4 linked regions of the Arabidopsis thaliana genome follow. The protein of the gene in region 4 interacts with the protein of the main gene of each other region in a pairwise test. Each region holds a gene or a part of one and is shown on either strand. Other genes may lie near its edges. The genes, in order: GB2, AT3G62560, MAPR2 and AT4G21570.

Evidence for each region.
Region 1: the proteins of AT4G21570 (region 4) and GB2 interact in a protein complementation assay, tested with the Arabidopsis thaliana proteins (one large-scale study listed by BioGRID).
Region 2: the proteins of AT4G21570 (region 4) and AT3G62560 interact in a protein complementation assay, tested with the Arabidopsis thaliana proteins (one large-scale study listed by BioGRID).
Region 3: the proteins of AT4G21570 (region 4) and MAPR2 interact in a protein complementation assay, tested with the Arabidopsis thaliana proteins (one large-scale study listed by BioGRID).

Annotation. Positions count from the first base shown.
Region 1 is NC_003075.7:16,986,058-16,991,545, forward strand, and holds GB2 (GTP-binding 2), read right to left. Parts: upstream 2,991-5,488; 5' UTR 2,783-2,990; coding exon 2,737-2,782; exon of another isoform or gene 2,623-2,736; coding exon 2,483-2,622; intron 2,074-2,482; coding exon 1,991-2,073; intron 1,629-1,990; coding exon 1,424-1,628; intron 1,331-1,423; coding exon 1,262-1,330; intron 1,154-1,261; coding exon 1,061-1,153; 3' UTR 783-1,060; downstream 1-782. Other genes in the region: AT4G35850 (Pentatricopeptide repeat (PPR) superfamily protein), read left to right, coding at 1-52, 155-232, 336-437, 526-624; AT4G35870 (early-responsive to dehydration stress protein (ERD4)), read left to right, coding at 4,275-5,488. UniProt on the Arabidopsis thaliana protein: Intracellular vesicle trafficking and protein transport.
Region 2 is NC_003074.8:23,135,322-23,140,530, reverse strand, and holds AT3G62560 (Ras-related small GTP-binding family protein), read right to left. Parts: upstream 3,246-5,209; 5' UTR 2,993-3,245; coding exon 2,864-2,992; intron 2,752-2,863; coding exon 2,620-2,751; intron 1,972-2,619; coding exon 1,651-1,971; 3' UTR 1,386-1,650; downstream 1-1,385. Other genes in the region: AT3G62550 (Adenine nucleotide alpha hydrolases-like superfamily protein), read right to left, coding at 3,457-3,544, 3,624-3,742, 3,968-4,077, 4,166-4,337.
Region 3 is NC_003071.7:10,606,897-10,610,691, reverse strand, and holds MAPR2 (membrane-associated progesterone binding protein 2), read right to left. Parts: upstream 1,276-3,795; 5' UTR 1,246-1,275; coding exon 943-1,245; 3' UTR 792-942; downstream 1-791.
Region 4 is NC_003075.7:11,470,154-11,475,634, forward strand, and holds AT4G21570 (organic solute transporter ostalpha protein (DUF300)), read right to left. Parts: upstream 2,869-5,481; 5' UTR 2,583-2,868; intron 2,123-2,582; 5' UTR 2,117-2,122; coding exon 1,850-2,116; intron 1,767-1,849; coding exon 1,644-1,766; intron 1,558-1,643; coding exon 973-1,557; 3' UTR 682-972; downstream 1-681.

The sequences.
Region 1 (5,488 bases), 5.5 Mb from region 4:
AGCTATGACAGGATACACCGATAATGGAATGAAGATTGCTCAGGACACTCTGGTAATGCTTATTGGCTCGAGCTGTACTGAAAAAAAGAATCTATGAAGTAAACAAAACACGGGCCAATAGTAGAGCCTGATGACAATTTGTTTGTAAATGCAGATCCAAATGAACGAACGCAATTTCTTCTTAGACCCAAGAACTGGAAGCAATCTGTTACTCAAAGCCGCTGGTGAAAAGGTAAAAATCTTGAACTTCCCCTAAAAACTTTGGAAATATCTTACTGATATAAAGAGTTGGCTTAGTGAAAGTTAAAAAAAAAAAAACATTTTCTTTATGGCAGACGGGAGGGTACACAGTTGCAAATATGATATGGGATCTGATGCTAGCTCGGAATATTCTACCAACACTAGCTGCTGTTGAAGCTTACTACAAGGGCTTGAAAGTAATAAAAAACCTTTTTCTTATTTGACCACAAACTTTCTTTCTCTTGGTATTAGTTATTGATGGTTTTTGTGGTGTGGTAATCATAGGAACGCGAAATACCAGAGGATGATCCGAGACTGATGTTAGTGACGCGAACATACAATAACTTGCGGCTTAGGGAAGGGACATTACCTAATAGGCGTTAAAGCAAAGGGACCAAGAGGAAGAAAGATGGTATCATGGCTTCTTCGTTTTCTACTTCTATTTGCTTATTGGGATCTCTGTGAACCATCTGGGTATTTTAAAACCAGTTCGTTTAGATGAATAAGGAAATTTCACCTAGATGATGACTGGATATTATTCTGATTTGATTTCAATTACTTAACCTTGAGAGCTTCATACAAAGCGACAACGTTTTAAATAAGCCAACGCCTGTTTGGTTTATAAAGATCAGCCTGTTCACTCTTAAATGCACCCGTTTGGTTTTTTGATAAAAGACAATCTGGGAAAAAGAGAAAAAAAGAAAGAAAGAAAGAGAAACTATACATTCTGGTGTATCCATTTGCAGAGGTAAATAGAAGCAATAGTAGTTTCTGAATCACCAGATTACAGCAGATATGTGACACCTCTCTCGAGGATTTTTTAACCACAACAGCCACCTCCCTGAGAGATCGTACCATCTCTTCCTCCAGCTGCACCTTGAGTACGCCCGTAACCAATCTTGATACCTGATGACTGCAAAATTTAGAGAGACCAAGGGAATTGAATCACATTGTAACACAATCGAGGGATTAGAGAACACCAGAAGACTAAGTATATTGCCAGATTCAACAAGGAAATTACCTCGTTGGATACATCAAAGACACCATCCTGAATGTTCTGGAGGATCTTGGCAGCAGTCTCTATGAAGGCCTGTTGGAATCCAGAAAAAGAAGACAAAAGTCTCCATGTGATTACAGCCAAATAACAGGATGGGGAAAAAGAGTTGCAAGGAAGAAATGTCACCTCCTCAACGTTTTGAGCAGTTCTTGCAGATGCTTCTAAGAATAGCAGGCCATGTTCTTTGGCAAACTGTTGACCTTCCTCTTTGCTAACAGCTCTCTTGTGAGCAAGATCACATTTGTTCCCAATCAGCATAATACTCATGTTAGGATTTGCATGTTGCCGAGCATCCTCCAACCAGCTTGCCAGATGGTTAAACGTCTCTCTCCTGCAACCCAAAGAACCAAGAATTTTGAGCTTCAGAAAGATCAAAGCATGAAAAACCTCAATGATAAAACTCTTGCAATTCTTCATGTCCTTCATAACTTTCAAAATTCCAAAACAATGGAGGAAAAATATCTATTTTAGCAAGAATTTAAGATGGATGGTTAACTTAACATCCTCCCAAACAAGCATTGCCAATATTATAGCCAAGGATTTTGTTCAGATAAAAGTAACTTCCCAATTTCCAAAACCTTTCCAACAGTCTAGGTTTATCAAATCACAAATACAGAACCAATCACTTCCAAAACCTTGCTGGGGAATTCAGAAGTTCGAGCTGATATATATTGTCGCAAGGCAAAAACTAACCTGGTGATGTCATAAACCAGTAAAGCTCCGGCTGCTCCTCTGTAGTATGATCTGGTGATGGATCTAAAAGATTCTTGTCCAGCCTAAAAAATATCATACGAAACTTTAATCAGAAAGCACAACTCCAACACATACATCATCTAATGGAAGAACTATTGACCAGAAGAAATCACAACAAGGAATGCACTGGTGAACTCAGCTTCTATTACAATAAGCCTATGAAACTTAATCAAGAACCGTGCAATGATTAACTTTTTTGAAATTTTACCCCACTTTGAGTCTCTGGACATGATTTTCAAACATAATTTTTGGTATTGGCAATTCTAATGAGGCATTGTTTATATAAAAACGAAGAAATTGAATTGATTATGACAATTAATCTTCTTAATCACATCCTGCCTTAGGGAGAAAAAAAAAACAATCCTAATCGATAAAACGTGATTAGTTCCCTGATGACCTAATTACGACCAAGAGAAGAGAGAGGAAGCGTACGGTGTCCCAAATTTGGAGTTTGATGGGGCGTCCATCGACGGTGACCATCCGAGCACCGAACTCAACACCAATGGTGAGATCGTGGACTGGTTGGAACCTCTTATCAGTAAATTGCAGAAGCAGACACGATTTTCCCACACCTGAAACGACAAAAAAAACAACAACGAAAACACATGAAAATCGGCACGAAATGGATTTAACCCAGAAAAATAAAACAATTGGGAATTAAGAAAGGTGAAAGATCGGTCTCTCACCTGTGTCTCCGATGATTATGTACTTGAAGAGATAATCGTAAGACATGGTTGATGAATTTGAGCAAGGTCGATGATGAATTAGCGCAGGTCGATGGGTTCGAGAGAAGGAGATGTGAAAGAGAGGAAGAAGAGATTGAAGAGTACAAGTCACCGACGTGCTTTTTGATTTCGAGGTTTCTCGATGAAGAAGCTATCTTCTCCTTCTCATCTTTTATAATCTTTTTACTTAATTACTAAAATTAAAGGGATCTAATGACGAATTATCTGAATAATTGTTTTTCTTTTGTATCCTTAAGTTTCAACAGTAAATAAAAATCCACACAAAATACTCTATAGTATAATTTATTAATTATTATAGTCGTTTTAGTTAATTATTTAAAAACAGAGGGACCAGATGAAAAATATCTGGGAAACAAATTAAAGCTTAAAATCCATCTCTGCCTTTGGCTCCGTCCACTCTGACTCGACTAGTGCATCATCCATTGTTGGGCATTTGATAGTTTAAAGTGGGCTTTTTTATTTTTTTATAATGTGGGCTTTTTTCTTTGATGTTGAATGGCTTGGTTAGTGGATTTCGAGACCAGCATAAGTTTCTTTTTTCTATTCATCTGAAGCATGGCGCAGTCCATAATCGCTAAATTGATGATACAAAAGAACTTGCACATCAAAACTGTGAACTTACCAGAAATTTGCATTAGCAAAAGCTTCTTTTATTATATGATGGGGAATACACACGTACCTTGATACAAGGCTACTAATATCAATTGTGTCCGGATTATCACGGTAGTATGCTCTGTTTCATATCTCTTATGGAAATTACATAACTGTGTTTAAGATGAATGTTCTAGTGGGAAGATAAGAAGAACTCAAATCCTACATTAGAGATGAGTTCCTTACAAATGCTTATAGTCTACAATGGCAAATTCGAGAAGCAAATTCGAAACAGAGTTCCATCCATTAGAGAACAGGGGATGTTATTTCATCCCAAACTCAAACCGATCTTAGTTATGTTATTTCGTATTTTTTTGGGTATTTTACCTTCAAATTATTTGATTAATTTCATGCTTTAAGGAGAATTTGATTAAAATGAATATACAAGAGTTATGAATTTGATTATATTCTCTTATTCTACTAATCACGAAATATTTAGAGAATATGTAATTATCGTTTAAAGAACTATCGTTTTATTCATAAAAACTCTGTAAATTACCAATTTGATATACTTCTATCAAATTATTTATATTTTTTAGTTGTGTTAATTCGTTTTTTTTGGGTGTATTTATCTTAAAAAGATGGGATTAAATTTCATGATTTAAGGAGAAGAATCTTTTGAGAGATTCGAAACCGCGATAGCATTCCTTGTTCCTCCTTTTCTATTTACCTTTCTACTTTTGCCATCATCTTCGTCGATCTACTTCCCCCAAAGTCTAACCCTAAAGCCCCCAAATTTCTCCTGATCAAAACCTTGTTGTATAAATCCTGAATCTCTGAAGAAACTTCGAAGATTTGGGTTTCTCAATTTGGTTGAGAAATTCGCGATGAATCGCAATTTTTCACCAGCTGCGATGCCACCGATTTCATCAATGACAATAGATAATTCATTCTCTCCTCCTCCATCTTCCGGCGACTTACCTGAAATCCCAGATGCTTGGTACGGCAACATTCAGTATCTGCTTAATATCTCGGTCATTGGTCTCTTATGCTGCGTCTCCATCTTTCTCTTCGTTAAGCTACGCAGCGACCACCGTCGTATGCCTGGTCCTTCTGCTCTCTTCTCTAAGCTCCTCGCCGTTTGGAAAGCCACGTGTCGCGAGATCGCTCGTCACTGTGGTGCTGATGCTGCTCAGTTTCTTTTAATTGAAGGTGGAAGCTTTGTGCTTCTTTTCTCCATTGCTGTTTTAGCTGTTTCGGTTATGCTTCCGTTGAATTTATATGCTGGGACTGCTTTGTTGAGTGATGAGCTTTCGAAAACGATGATTACGCATATTCAGAAAGGTTCAGCTTTGCTTTGGCTGCATTTTGTGTTTGTTGTTATTGTTGTTGTTATCTCGCATTTTGGAATCGCTGCTATTGAAGCTAGGTTGAAGTTTACTAGGTTTAGAGATGGGAATGGGAATATCAGTGACCCGAACGCGAATTCTACTGCTGTGTTTACTATAATGGTGCAGGGTTTGCCTAAGAATTTAGGGTCTGATAGAGTTGAGTTTGAAGATTGCTTTAGGCTGAAGTACCCTGGGAAAGTTTATAAGTTTATTGTTCCCATGGATTTGTGTGCTTTGGATGATCTTGCTACAGAGTTGGTTCGTGTTCGAGATGAGATTACTTGGTTAGTTGCCAAGATGGACTCTAGGCTTCTACCGGATGAGTATGAGAATGTTGGAGATAACGGACTAGTGTTCTGTGTGTGTTCTTTGTGGGTTAGGGTGAAGGTTTTGTGGTCTCAGATTACAGAGAGGTTTGGATTTACAGATGATGAAAAACTGAGGAAGCTGCAAGAACTGAGAGCTGATTTGGAGTCTCAGTTAGCAGCTTATAAAGAAGGACGAGCACAAGGCGCTGGGGTTGCTTTTGTGATGTTTAAGGATGTGTACACAGCTAATAAGGCTGTTCAGGATTTTCGAAACGAGAGATCAAGGCGTACTGGAAAGTTCTTCTCTGTCACAGAGCTGCGATTACAGAGAAACCAGTGGAAAGTGGACAGAGCACCCTTGGCTACTGATATTTATTGGAATCATCTGGGATTGACAAAAGT
Region 2 (5,209 bases), on a different chromosome or scaffold from region 4:
GCAAAGTTATAGGAATGCATATAGTCCAACAGAAACCAAAAATTATTTGAAAAATCATAAAATATTAAGCTTTCTAGCTACAAGTGGACATCCAAAAATATTGTACATAACACTTTCACTATTGGGTGTTTCGACATTGCAACATGATTGCATTGTCTATGACTGGTGACTTTCACCGAGACATGGGTTTTATATAGAACCAAATAAGTGTCAAAGTTGGCGCAAGTTTTAAGATAGGAATCTATTATCAAATACTAATAATACTAGTTGTATGATTAACGTCGTTATTTAATTTGAAGTATTGAGTAAAAAAGAGAGAATATTGCGTTGGGCATCAAACCAATCATCTAGTTTTGCTCAAATGCATACGATAGAGACCTCTTTTGGATCCAAAAGCTTTGGGTTTTGAACTAAAAACTGAAACCAATCACATAAAAGTCAGATAGCTCAGAGGGAGGCACGTGTTCTTGGCTTAGATATCACGTGGGAATGAGGGATCCATGTGCATCCCTTTACCCCAAAAACCAAGTTAATACTTCTTCTAAATTTATTTTTCTCTTCTCCACGCAATCAATCGAATGAGTTTTAATATTTTGACATTTTTTTATATATAAAAAAAACTTTTCTCATTCAAGCAAAAAACTTAAATCAAATTATTCATTTGGTCACATTTTCGTGCTTGGTATTTCATGGGTCCTGGGACATAGAACCAGTCTCTAGCTAGTGGCGAATATAAAAAAGAAACAGCATAGTAAAAAGAAGAGCAAAAACTGTAACAAGGAATCAATCCAAAGGAGAAAAAATTAATAACAAATGATAGAAATAATACGTTAAAAAAAAACTTTTGATATTAACTTTGGGCCACGTAGAGAAGAATCAGTCCAAAGGAGAAATGTTCTGAAAAAGTTATAAAAAGAGAAAGTGAGCACCTAATAGTTTTCTTACACATCCATATTTGCATAGTCCGTAGACATATATATGCTTGAGCTGCAAAATCTTGAGTCGCAAAATCTAATCTATTAGCCTTATTACGCTGCGACTTGAACGTTTGGAAGCGGCTGAGATCAAAGACGCATTGTGATGGTGCTAAAAAGCAAATTTTTTTACTTATTTTGTGAACTATTTTGGAGTATTATTGTTCACATATTTTAATGAAAATAAATACATGGTTATCCATAGATCTGTTTGTGTTCATTTCACAATACCTAGAAAGAAGAAAAACAGACATAATGATAAGTTCACAAAGAGACATAACACATGTAAAACAATATACGTACACTCATTATGGTACATCTATGTGTCAAATTGATTGGTTTTCAGTGTAGGACATTGTGATTGTTAATTGTCAAACTCGATTCACATGGGGTTTTCTCTACATTACATTATTAAAGTAAAAGTGTTCATCTTTCGAATTTTCATAAAAAAGCTAAGATACAGCCATTTCTTAAGCCCCACACAGTTACACAGTCACAGACAAATGGGTTCACACTTTTCATAGGATTCAACTTTGGTCTGTAAACACAAAATTGATAATTTAAAAGCCGTCAAATCTTGTTGTATACACACATTAATCGTAATTATACATTAGGTTATAACACGTACAGATACCAATCACACAGTATAGATAGATAAGACTTAAATATGATTGATCTAGTCGATATATTGAGAAACCCATTTAAATCCTTCGCCGTAACCCATCTTTCTGACAATGCTGCACATGAACACCTCAAGAGGACGAACATTTGTTCCTGCTAGATTCACTTTACCTTTCCCAGTGGTGAAACTGGTGAGGCCTAGATGATAACGCAGCTCGTCTTCTGATGCAGCGTACGGAATGTCGATTTTGTTTCCAAGGATGAGGAAAGGGACATTTGCTAGGGATTCATCAGAGAGAAGAGCGTCAAGCTCTTTCTTTGATTCTGCAAACCTCTCTTTGTCATATGCATCAACTAGGTATACCACTGCATCAACCTAATACGAGACAATAATAAAGTTACAAACTTGAAGATAGAATGCAAAGAGGGTAGCTAATAGAAACACCGGAGTCTATTAATCTCTTGATTCACTGGAATCATCAGCTATGAGAATGTAAATCACAAGGGACCTCATGACTCTAAAACTGACAGTAAGAGTAGTCTATAGCTATACAATCTTCTAATTTTCAACCTCCACTGGCTCCACATACCAATCACAATGTCATTTTAAACTACAGTATATGATGTATATGTATATCTATCATCTGAAGATTTTACTATAGCTCAATCATTTCAAACTATCATCTGCAAACTTATATAACCCAACGGAGCAACACAGTGGCTAAGGAACAGAGTAGGAGTAGTACACAGCAAGAGCTTACTAGGTACACATAACCAGCAGAATGTAATCACAGGACCTCATGCTGCAACATTCAAAAGAGAATTGCTATATGACAAACTTCATTGAAGATTTCACTTCACCTCTATCATCTAACTATTGTTTATATGGGCACAGGGAAGATTGTAATCTATAACAGAGTCAGCTTAGAGTCTACATACAACTATACGAGCGCAATAGTCCTTCCAAAGACTTGCTAAATTGATTGACCTAACAATAAAATCCAAAGAAGAAAGAAGATCAAACCTTAGCGTAATAGTCCTTCCAGACTCTACGAGCAATCTGATGACCTCCCAAATCGAAGGCTTTGAACTTGATTTTGCCGATACTAAGCTCTTCCGATGTCGGATGCTGTGTCGGCTGATGCTGGACCAGTCTCTGAAACCCAAATCAAACGATTATCGCTGATTAAGACTTTGATTCGTTCGCGCTAAGTAAAAGAAACAAGATTCTAGACAGCGATTACTGATATGGCTCGAAGAAAACGAACCTCGTCCTTTAACATGTGAAGCAAGGTGGTTTTGCCGGCGTTGTCGAGACCTAGAAACAGAATCTTCGCTTCTTTCTGCCATAGTCCCAGAGTTGCCAGAACTCCATAGAACCAATCCACCAGGAACATCGCTTCTTCTTCTTCTTCTTCTTCTTCTTCTCTCTCGCGAGATTGAAGATTTTCACGAAGCTTCGAACACGGAAACGGCGACGTTTAAGTATGACTGTGTCGACTGGATGAGTAACAGATATACTTTGGGCCTTGAGGCCTTTATTGAACTTTGAAGCGAACAACAATTAAGTGTTCAAACAACAAAATTGCAAATATTCAAAACTTGGTATATGGTTCATTACATTCTTCTATACGTTAAATTGAAATTTGCGTTTACATTAGTTTTTAATTTGGCATTGTATGTAGAGAATGTAGATTTGAATTTAATTGGTTGATTGATGTCATTGTCAGCTAGTTTTATATAAGCAAAAATATCTGCTAAATTTGTTTAAACCGTTATGTATTTTATTATCGCATACGAAGATTGATTCAAGTGTTACACCAGTTCTTTCGAAACATATACACAATGCAATCATATGAGCTTAATTATCTTGAGCTTGCTTCTTGACGATAACCACAGGACACTTGACTCGTTTGGCGCAATACTCGCTCACACTCCCTAGCAAAGCCCTATCAAATATATCAAATGATTATCAAATAACCATTAAACCAAAATATTTTTGTTTCTTATAAGAGATTGAAACCTTACCTTTTGAAGAAGCCATAGTCATGAGTGCCCATTACTAACATATCAACTCTAAGTTTCTGAACTGCGTTGCATATAACTTCCTTAGCATCTCCTCTTCCAACTCGTCTCTCTATATTAATCTGCACATTAATTTGGTTATATTTACATTTATTTCGCCAACTCTCTTTGAAAACAACCATATTTTGCTTATCATATGTTATATTTTTTGTACTAAATATTGCTCATGATAAACAGATTAACTCATAACTACTTGATTAAATTCACTTTCTCATAATTTCTCAAGTTTTTTAAGCAAGTATAATCCAGCAAATTAAGTGATAAAAAATCGATAGAAATAAGCTTACATCAGACTCATAATCTTGGTACACGGTTCGAGACCGAGCCATGACCGATTCCACGAGCTCGTATTCATACTTCTTCAAAGCTGCAACCGGGTCTCCTGTCACTATAAACCCTGGAAATCGACCAAACAAAAATCTATAACTAAAGTGAACAGATTATAATTAGGGAAAGATATGAATCGTGAAAGAACGAGGACTAACCTGCGGCATCGAGGGAAGAGTAAACGGGAAGAGGGGGCTTGACGTAGAGGAGGATGAGTGTATTATTGGAACCATATGGAAAAAGATTGTCAAGACTCCATGACAGAGCTTCCATGCTCTCTTCGCTTTCGTCTACTGCTACTACTATCTTTCTCTCCTTTGTTTCCTCCATTTCTTTACCTTTCTAAAAAAAAAAACTGTTTTCTTTTGCTTTCAATTATTAGAGAAGAAATATATTATGAAGAAGACCTGATGGAAGAAGAGATTATGATTGTGTTACTATTTATACAATTAGCTAGGCAAAACCCACTTGATTTCTCATTTTGGAATTAAGTGTTTTCATTTAGATATTTGCAGACACTATCCTTTGTGTAATTTTTACATTAGATAAGATATAAACCCACATAGGATTGATTGATAACCAAATACAGAAAACTATCGTTTTTCTTTCAGGGGTGACTCTTATCTACAATATGCGATATTTTTATGTAGATAATTCATGATTTTTTATAGAATTATTTCATGCTTCTGAACTACTATGTTATTATAGATTTTAGGTGAATCAATATTTATGAACTTAATCTGGAATCTGATTTTCCTCATATATCCCTTAGTTTTATATACATCCCGCAGGGTTATTGATGATTGATGTTACACTGATTGACTGATCTTGATTTTCAGTTATGTAATATCCATAAACACGTATACAAAGACAACGTGAACTAAGAGAAATGTAAGATAGAATCAAATAAATCTAAAAATAAATTGGTCCCCTAAGAAAAACTTGAGAAAATATCACGACCCTAAAACGAAGATAAGATGCATACAGATACCTTCCAACTAAAAAATAAAAATTCTTTATGCGTTTGAGCTTTAATGCTCCTGGTGGACCCAATGGTTATATGTGACCAGATCAATGGGCCTTTAATGGGTCAAAATTATTATCACTCAAAGCTTCTAATCAAACAAAGGCCCAAATACGTGAAGAGCTCTCCGCCGTAAATCAGTGGCTTTTCACCGACTTCGCCATTGCTAATCGCCGTC
Region 3 (3,795 bases), on a different chromosome or scaffold from region 4:
GGTTCTCCAACAACGTTTTACAAATTGTGGGAAAGGATAAATACCTACCTGAGGATCAACATGGTGCCGAATCTCCTACCCCTCCACGTCTCCTCATTTATGTTCTAGGTTTGGTTCAAATCCAGCAAGGTAGCTAGTTCTTGGAGGTGGTGGTTTGTGCATTTTTTTATTTAAAATGTCAAAATAATATCTAAGTTAGGATGCCTCTCTCTTGATAAACAAGCATAGCTATAGGCCACAGCCACTACACACGACACAAGTCAACTCGAGCCAAGAACAACTCTACCCATGAACAGCTCTCCCTCAAACCTAAGACTTGGCGTTAAAGCAACATATTAGTCGCAAGAACGCCATGCCGAACAGGGCCGAAGTCATACAAGTGATGATAATAATTTAGACCGGGAGAAGTAAGAAAGAATCAAAGAAGACACACATTAGCTTCTATGAATTCTGAATGTTCATCATAACTATATTCTTCCAAATCTCATAACGCAAAAGACTAAAATTAACAACAACTTGGAACTTGTAAGATAATTTACACCGAATCCAAAACTACCAGTAAGTTTGGTGTTGCTCAGATTTCAGAAACCATCAGTTTTTCTTTCACCAGACACAATTAGCTCCAAGTATTTGCAAGATATGAAAGACACAAACCAATCTTTATATCCTCTCATCAAATACATATGAGACTTAAAACTCCTAAAATCCTAATCATCACAACAAAGTAACCTTTTTTTTTTGGTAAGCACAACAAAGTAACCTTAAGATCAGAATATGAAGACCACTGAGAACACGAAATCCCCGATTTATTTCATAGATAATTTGGTACTTATGGTAATTGTATCAAAACGATCAGATCCAAACACGAAATCAGAAAACACACAACACAAAGATCCTCACACACAATAGTTACATAACATAGTGCAATCTCAGAAGAGAGACCTAAGAGACAACACGGCCAACGACAGGATACTTAGCTTCAAATTTGGTCTCCCAATCATTAAGAGTATTGATCTCTTTCTCAGTGAGACCTTCAAGAGAAGGAGACACATCTTCTTCGTTCTTACTCATCTTACCCAAAGCTCTGCTCGCGTCTTTTCCGGCGAACATCGAGTAATCGCCTCCGGAGCCGTAGAAGGATTTTCCGGTGGTGACATCGAACACACGGCCTTTGATTGCGACGTAGATCGGCTTTGATTCGTCGGTGCCGTTGTATTGGCTTAGCTGCTCTGCGGTGAATTCCATCTTTTTCTTTAAAGCTCTGATCAATTGTTTCTGGAAAGAACCAAATAAAAGATAGTGAGAGATATATAACAGAGGATTTTTTTAAAAAAATTATAACTGAATAACTTTTTTTTAATAAGTGGAACAACTTTTTTTGTGTCGGTAATAAGTGGAGTAAACTTTATTCTTCAGATTTTTACAAGGAATATCAAAAAATATTTTATTTTTCTCTAATTAAAGTCGATAAAAATTCCAGAAATGCTTAATCTTTCAAGGAGCTTAATTTAAGCTGCTTAAACAACTTCGTCGGGTTTAAAGGACGGCTTTGGGAAAAGACAATTTAATTTGAACTAATTCCTAAGATAGAACACATTTGTATGTTTATTCCTACAGTAGAACACATCTTTTTTTTATTACTCAGATGTTTTCAGTTATTGTGTAATTACAATTAACACCCCTAATTAGTTTTAATTAATTATTATTATTTAATTCGTTTTTAACTAAAAATTAAATGAAAAAACAGTGATTATACATGTCATTATTCCATGTCATTACCATAATCCACGTCATTAATTATCTCCAAACTCCATAACGTTTGGGTTTCTTATTTCTTAGCTTTACTGTTCATCATCTCCCAAAAAAAAAAAAAACTGTCGCTTTCTTCCACTTTCTCTCTCGACGGAACGAAATCGATTTCTTTCGCCGTTTTGCTCTTTTCTCGTCTGTTCCGGCCGAAATTCAGACGCCGGAGTCGCATTTACGTAAGCGCGAAGTCACATTCGACATCTAAGTTCCGGTGAGTATCTTTCAATGAAGTAAGACTCTGACATCTAAGTTCAATCTCAAGTGATTCCCGTCACTGAAATCGTTTTCCGATGCGTAACGATGGTTTTTAAAGCTGGGTTTTAACGTCGACGTTGATTGACATATGGTGGCCGATTTCTTAGATCTATTTGATTTGACGGCTGAGTTACTGTTTGTTTGCCGACTGATTTATGATTTATCAATTCATCCGTGTCTGAGTTTTTTTTATGCTGTGACTGAGTTATGGTTTAACCTTACATCGATGTCTGAGTTTCTGTTATATGACGGCTGAGTTTGTTTATGTTATGGCTGAGTTTCTGTTTTGATATAGCTGAGTCTGGTTTATGTTTTAACTGAGCTGTTGTTATGTTATGGTTTGACTGAGTTTCTGTTAAAATATGGCTGAGTTAGATTTATCTTATGGCTGAGTTATGTTATGTGTGGCTGAGATAGGTTTATGTTATGACTGAGTTATGTTATCTATGGCTGAGATAGGTTTATGTTATGACTGAGTTATGTTATCTATGGCTGAGTTAGATTTATGTTTTGCCTGAGTTATGGTATCTGTGGATGAGTTTGTTTTATGTTATGACTGAGTTATGGAATGCTTACGGCTGATTTATGGTTATACAGATGTCTGAAGACCAAGCAAGGGAGTACCCTCCAAGACTTTACCAAGAGGGGGATTCTAATCTGGAGGGTAAAGGCATTAATCATAATATAAAGCTGGGAGAGTTCCCTGCAATTAGAGAATCAATAGGAGAAGAAATATGGGCAGAACTGAAAGAGACAGAGCTTGGATTAATTGCTAAGCTTGTTGATAGTCATTTTCTCTGGTCTGGTAAGACCGTACATTATCTACTATGCAGACAGCTGAGAATACTGAAGAAGGAGCTTTGGTGTATCGTGGCTGGTAAACCCATCCGGTTTGGATTGAACGAATTTCATCATATCACTGGTTTAAATATAGATGATCTGCCTACAGAAAAGTTTGAGCCTGAAGCTGACTACAAAGCGTTCTTCAGTGAATTGCGTGTGCCAACCGGTGAAGGTCCTAATCTAGATGAACTTAGGCAGGGCTTAGTAACGTGCAGAGCTTGGCCTACTGAAAAACGTAGATGGTTTGGGTTATTGACTCTTCTATCCATTGGACTTTTTGGCTTGCATACTAACTCTAGGATACCATTTGAGAGTGCCAAAAGAGTTTTCGACGACGAAGCCATGAAGACTTATCCATGGGGTCGGGCAGCATATGAAGCCCTTGTCGTTTCTATAAAGTTGCTGAGGCCTATTGGCAAGACGTACACTGTCAGTGGTCTGGTTTTCGTGTTGCAGGCTTGGGCGTATGAGTCAATCATCACCATCGCTGAGCGTTTTGGGAACGCTGTTAACGCGGATGAGATTCCGTTGCTTAGATGGGGTGGCAGCCGTACCCGTTCAACTATAGAATCGGTCATTGCTGAAGATATCAAAGCGAATGGTGGTGAGGTACGGTTTCGGCTCTGTTATGTTCTGTTTTTTATCAAATATTTATGTTACGGCTGAGTTAATGTTTTATTTTTCTCTGTGAAGGCTGAGTTATATTCTTTTTTTTTGGCAAATATGTTATGTGACGACTGAATTATGTTCTATAATGGCTGAGTTATATTAAGTGACGACTGAGTTATATTAAGTGATGGCTGAGTTAAACATACTGATGGGTTTTATTATCTCTCCTGTTGTAGCTGCGTGTTCGTACAATGGTTGAAAAGGCTGAGTTAAGCGAGC
Region 4 (5,481 bases):
CTCCGGATTATAGAGGACAAAGATATGGAGATTGGAGAGAGAGAGAGAGAAGAGAGATTGGGAGATTGCGTGTGCTCACACGACACCTCTTTATGATGATGAATTGATGATGAAAGCTTTTCACGCGGTATGAACAAAACAACACGGAGGCAAGGCAACGAACTCTGTCTCTGTCTGGATCAACAACAAATCAATCACCATCGATTCTCGCGCAAATTAAATTAAATATAAATTTGATCGATTTCGAAAAACGAGAACTCGATTAACCCTAAATCGGAAATAATCTGACCTGTGGGCTGTGGAGTTGACAATCGGGTTATCAGAGAGAATCGTTCGAGCAGAGAGCCAAACCAATTCAATCCAGAGACTTTTTGTGTTTAGTCCTTTCGCACGCCTTTTCCCGTATATTACGTGCGACTTTTTTACCCTCCTTCAATTAATACATTACTCCAATTTTTATCTTCACAAATAAATTATTTTAATATTTTCATACATAAATGAGCTTTTGATTGGTTACAAATTCAGAACGATAGAATCATGAAAAATAATTTGATGATTTTTTTTAAGATTTCAACAACATTACTTTCGAATTTTACTACTCAATGAGAACGAGTGTTTTATTTTGTCACAGAAGTAAGAAGAATTTGAGTATTTGAACTGATTTTACAACAATTGAACAAAGACTAGAGTAACAATGGTGAAAAAGTTTCATTTCATGCATACGGGAAAGATATTAATATGAGTAGTGTTCTTTACTTCTTTTGATGAAAAGTGTAGTGGCTTTAACATTATTGTTCATATCATCTAAATTTTCAACTTTATTGTTTCTTTTTTCCCCAATCATGGAAACCAAAAGTTGTAAAGCAAAACCTTTAGATCTTTCTCCTCAACATAACAACATACAAGATCACCAAAGATTGGCTATAAAAATGGCTGGTTTAAAACCAGTCCATGTCCACTCTAACGCCCAAATCATTCGGTCTTTTTATCGAGTTTCTTCTTGGTCTCGCCGCTATAAGGACCAGCATGATAAGCGTGTTTCTGAACCGCAGCGAAGATAACCATCTCAAGACATACCAACACATTCTGAATTGCTTCTTGGATTTGTTCTACCTCCAACCAGAAATGGTGAGATTTTATGAATCCCATTGCCACCAGTATGTCTAGTGCTATTCCCTGCAGTTTCAGAATCAAAAGAATCTTATGAGTATATCCAAACATGAGAAATCTTGTTTTGAGGGGTTTACTGATTAATGCAAACATTACCTGCCAAAAGACAAAGAAGACAATTCCTTTGATGCAGAGGAACTTTGCGAGTGGATTATGAGGAGCAAGCTCCTTAGCAAACACATGGTAGAATATCACAAGAGAATACAAGGCCAGAGAAACCGAGAAATTGACAATGATAGTGAATGTCCAGCTCAACCATGAAGGATAAAACCCGATGAGCTGTAAAGCTATCATCAAAGTGGAGCACACGGGTCGAATGACCACAAATTGCCATGTCCAGTATTTCAAAAGTTTAAGAGTGTGACGATCCAAACGGACTACATGAGGCTGTCAAAACAATAGACACAAAGCTTTTAAGGGTAAAGAAGCAAATAGATATTAGATGAAATCATGCAATGAAGATAGAGACGAACCTGAAAAAGAGTCATTGGGAAAGAATGGTGAATCTCTCTTCCTTTGATTCCATCAGGCAAAATGTTTTTGCTCATAGATATGTTTAGATAACTATACATCAATGCCAAGAATTTGGCAATGACCTGCAAAATATCGAAAAAAATTGGTAAGTGTCGTCTCTACAATATGTTGTATACTAACACAAGCGATAAAACAATATACTCACAAGAGCTTCGTAGCATTCTTTGATGGATTCAAGAAAGAGGAAGAAGGTTTCACTTCCTTTGACTTCTAACAAACCAATAAAGGAAACAACGGCGTAGATAGGAGCCATAAGCACAATGATGAGTATAGCCTTTTGTTCCTTAGGGTTCTTCCAGTGGAAGAGATGCTGCGATACAAGCTGTATCGTGAAATGAAGTGTGAGCAAGACGGAAAACGCCGAGCAATAAAAAGTGATCTGTGGAGGCTTCAGTTTCGTTAGGTCCATCATTGTGTCCTGCATCAAAATTAATACACATAACTCTTTAGCATCAAGAAGCCATCAGACTTTGCACAAGAATTCTAATCAATCAAACATCTAAATCTTCACAAATGTTTCAGCATTATATTCAGCCAAATAGCTCCACATCAAAATTCACTCTTTAGCTTAACATTAATTTAAACTGTACAATGAAAAGCAAACATCTCATGAGATCTAGAAAGCTAAATGGTTGGAGCAATTAGATATCTCCGTATCAAAACAGAGTATATAACCGAATTAAAAACTCAAACTTTATAGATGACTGGGAAAACGGGTGATGAACTCGATAAACCCAATCAGACCCATTAATTTGAAAGGTCGAATTCTGATTTTGTCTATGTTCCCAAGACTGATTCAAAGCTAGATAAGCAAAATCTCTGTAAATCTGAACAAAGCAAAATTAGCTAACCAGAGAGAGAGAAAGAGAGGAACTAACCAGATAAGAGCTAGGGAAGAAGCGAAGATGAGACTCGGAGAGTGTGAAGAAAGTGAATCAGATCTCTTAGTAGTTAGATCATGAAGAATTGAGGGAGCATGAGACCGCCATTAATGGAGTCACAAACGTGGTCGTATTATAAAAATGGCGACGCGTTTACCACGTGAGAGAGACGCTACGATTGCATAAAAAGAAGTCGGCATTGGTATACATGTGTCTCTCTGATTCGTCCACACGGTTTTGTCGCATTTGTTGGAGAAAAGATAAGTCTTTTAAACAGAGGTCGGTATGGTATGTATTTGGTTTCAAGGATTCATGAAATTGATATATGATTGTGATGTAAGTTATTGATTTTTTCTTCATTCATTACACGTCATGGGCTGAGAGAAGAAATCAAAAGAGAGGATTTGTATCTTTGAGCCCAAAAAAAAAAGGCACCATCTTGGACCATTGGTTTGGTTGGACCAAATAATATAATGATGTGGTGAAAAGTTTTTTAGCGGTTATGAAAATCAAAATAAAAAAAAAAGGCGGTAAGAAAAATGGCAATGCAGTAGAAATGGTGGTTCAAAAATGGTTTTAGAAGTGAGATCATCTTTATGCTCATTTATCTTGGGTTTGTTCGGGCTCTAACACCATGTACAATTTTAATCATTTGAAAATAAGTGGAAAGATCTATACATTTCATATACTTTATATACTTATGTTGAATTAGCTCCACATCTTATTGGTAATGGTTTGACAGTTTGAATTATAGCAGAAATAAAAATAAATATATAGATTTAAGAAATATAATTGCTCCAAATGAATGACATATAGTTGAATGATTGGAAAAATAGGTGCAAATGGTTGCCTAAAATTAAGAAGTTGAAAGAGTTGAATGAGCATTTATCTATTTTTTTTACCATTTAAGATGAATAAGTTGGAAAAATGATTCAACCCTTTCAACTTAAAAAGTTGGAAAAATAAACTAATTATAAAGAAATTTTTTCAACTTGTATATCTTCTATTTCACAGAGAAATGAGTTGAATAATATTCAACTTTTATTTTTCAACTCAAAATTTCCAATTATTTCATCTCTATGCAACCATTTTCAGCAAAACCAAGTTGAACATTATTCAACTCATTCATCTACAAAAGAGTAGATGAAATGGTTGAACAAGTTTCTTTTATAATTTGTTCATTTTTCTTTTTTTTTTGTTGAATGAGTTGAATCAATTTTCCAACCTATTCATTTCAAATCGTAAAAATAAAATAAATAGTTATTCAACATTTTCAACCTTTTATTTTAAAACAACCAATTCATCTAAATAATTTTATTACTTTATAACAATCGCTTGTTGAGGAGATGACTTAATCACTTTTCATTTTCTCTTCGTGAATTCGTTTTACTAAGTTTCCGTTACTTTCAAATGTACTCAAAACAAAAAAAACAATCGCTTGTTACTATAATAAAAGATCGATGAAACAAGATTCTAATGTTAAGCATTTTGAAATGTTACGAAACCGTACAAACAATTTATGTGATTAACGTCAAATGCATAAAAACGCAAACACAAAAAATAGCAGTTAAATCTTATAAAGATATTTCATAAAATATTACACACTCATGAAAGGTCTTAAAAGCTTAATTAGTTCTCATTATCAAAGAAAAAAATAAAAGCTTAATTAGTTCTTACCGAAAAAAACAAAGCTTAATGTTGATGAGTGAACGAGTCTTTCCACGTCGTCCACACTGTCCTCGTCGTCCTCGTTGTCTACGTCGTCTTCGTGGTCCAGGTCGTCGTAATTGGAAGTGGCGAGAGAAAATCCGATTTGGCGGTGCCCAAAATCAAATATCGTATGATATCTCTGAGTAAAGGCATTCCAAGAATATTGTAAACAAATTAATATATAAATTTAATTGATAAGTAATTTACGAAACAAAACGTACTTAATGTGACGAAATGGAGAGATAGTCCTCCGAAGTGAAATAAAAAGCACATCGGGCAAATAATTTGCTACCGCTGCTGCCACTTTGGCATTTGTAAATATCATCCTTTCCATATGACTAGAAAATAGAAAACGAAAAGAGAAAGTATTAAGTTAACATAAAACAACAAATAATAATAAAATGTTGTAAATAAAACTTACACGTCTACCACAAATTTGAGAGTAATCTCTCGGGTAATGAGATAGAAAAATAAATATAAATGATAAATTGCATTAGTAAATAGTATTTGATACAAAATAAAATTTAAACATTAAATCCTTTACTAACCGGGGGACCGTATATATACGGACAGCTCATATGAATTAAAGTTTTATGGGTGAGTGATCCTAAAAAGAAAAAGAAGATGTAAAGTTTATGTACTGAAAACACACATATATAGATAGACTCATTATTGTAATTAATTATTACATGATATCCGTTGACTTGGATGGAATGCATCCTAATGATTCATCTATTACCTTCAATGAGGTTGAAGTATATATGCTCAACGACAAAATGAATCTGATCAACATCCCGAACGATTGTTTCTCCTCCCAAATTATAGCTGTCACCATAATGAACTTATTCATAGTAATTCTGTAGCCACACCGACAATATATTTCGATGTAAAAATCTTTGATCCATCATATTTGTCCTAAAATTATTTCTAATTTATTTCTTATTTTTATTTGTTATCTAAATATACCTAATCTCATAGCTCTATTAATATTTTGACGTTAAATCATTGTATAATAAATAAATTGATGTACGTAACATGTTCAAATATATACATTTATTTTCAGTAGACTTTTAGACACACAATTTATATGATTAGAGTCGAATGCATAAAATCTCAAACGCGAAAAATAAGCGGTTAAACTTTTAAACACAAAATAATATAAAAATTGAGCGGTTAAATCCCAATT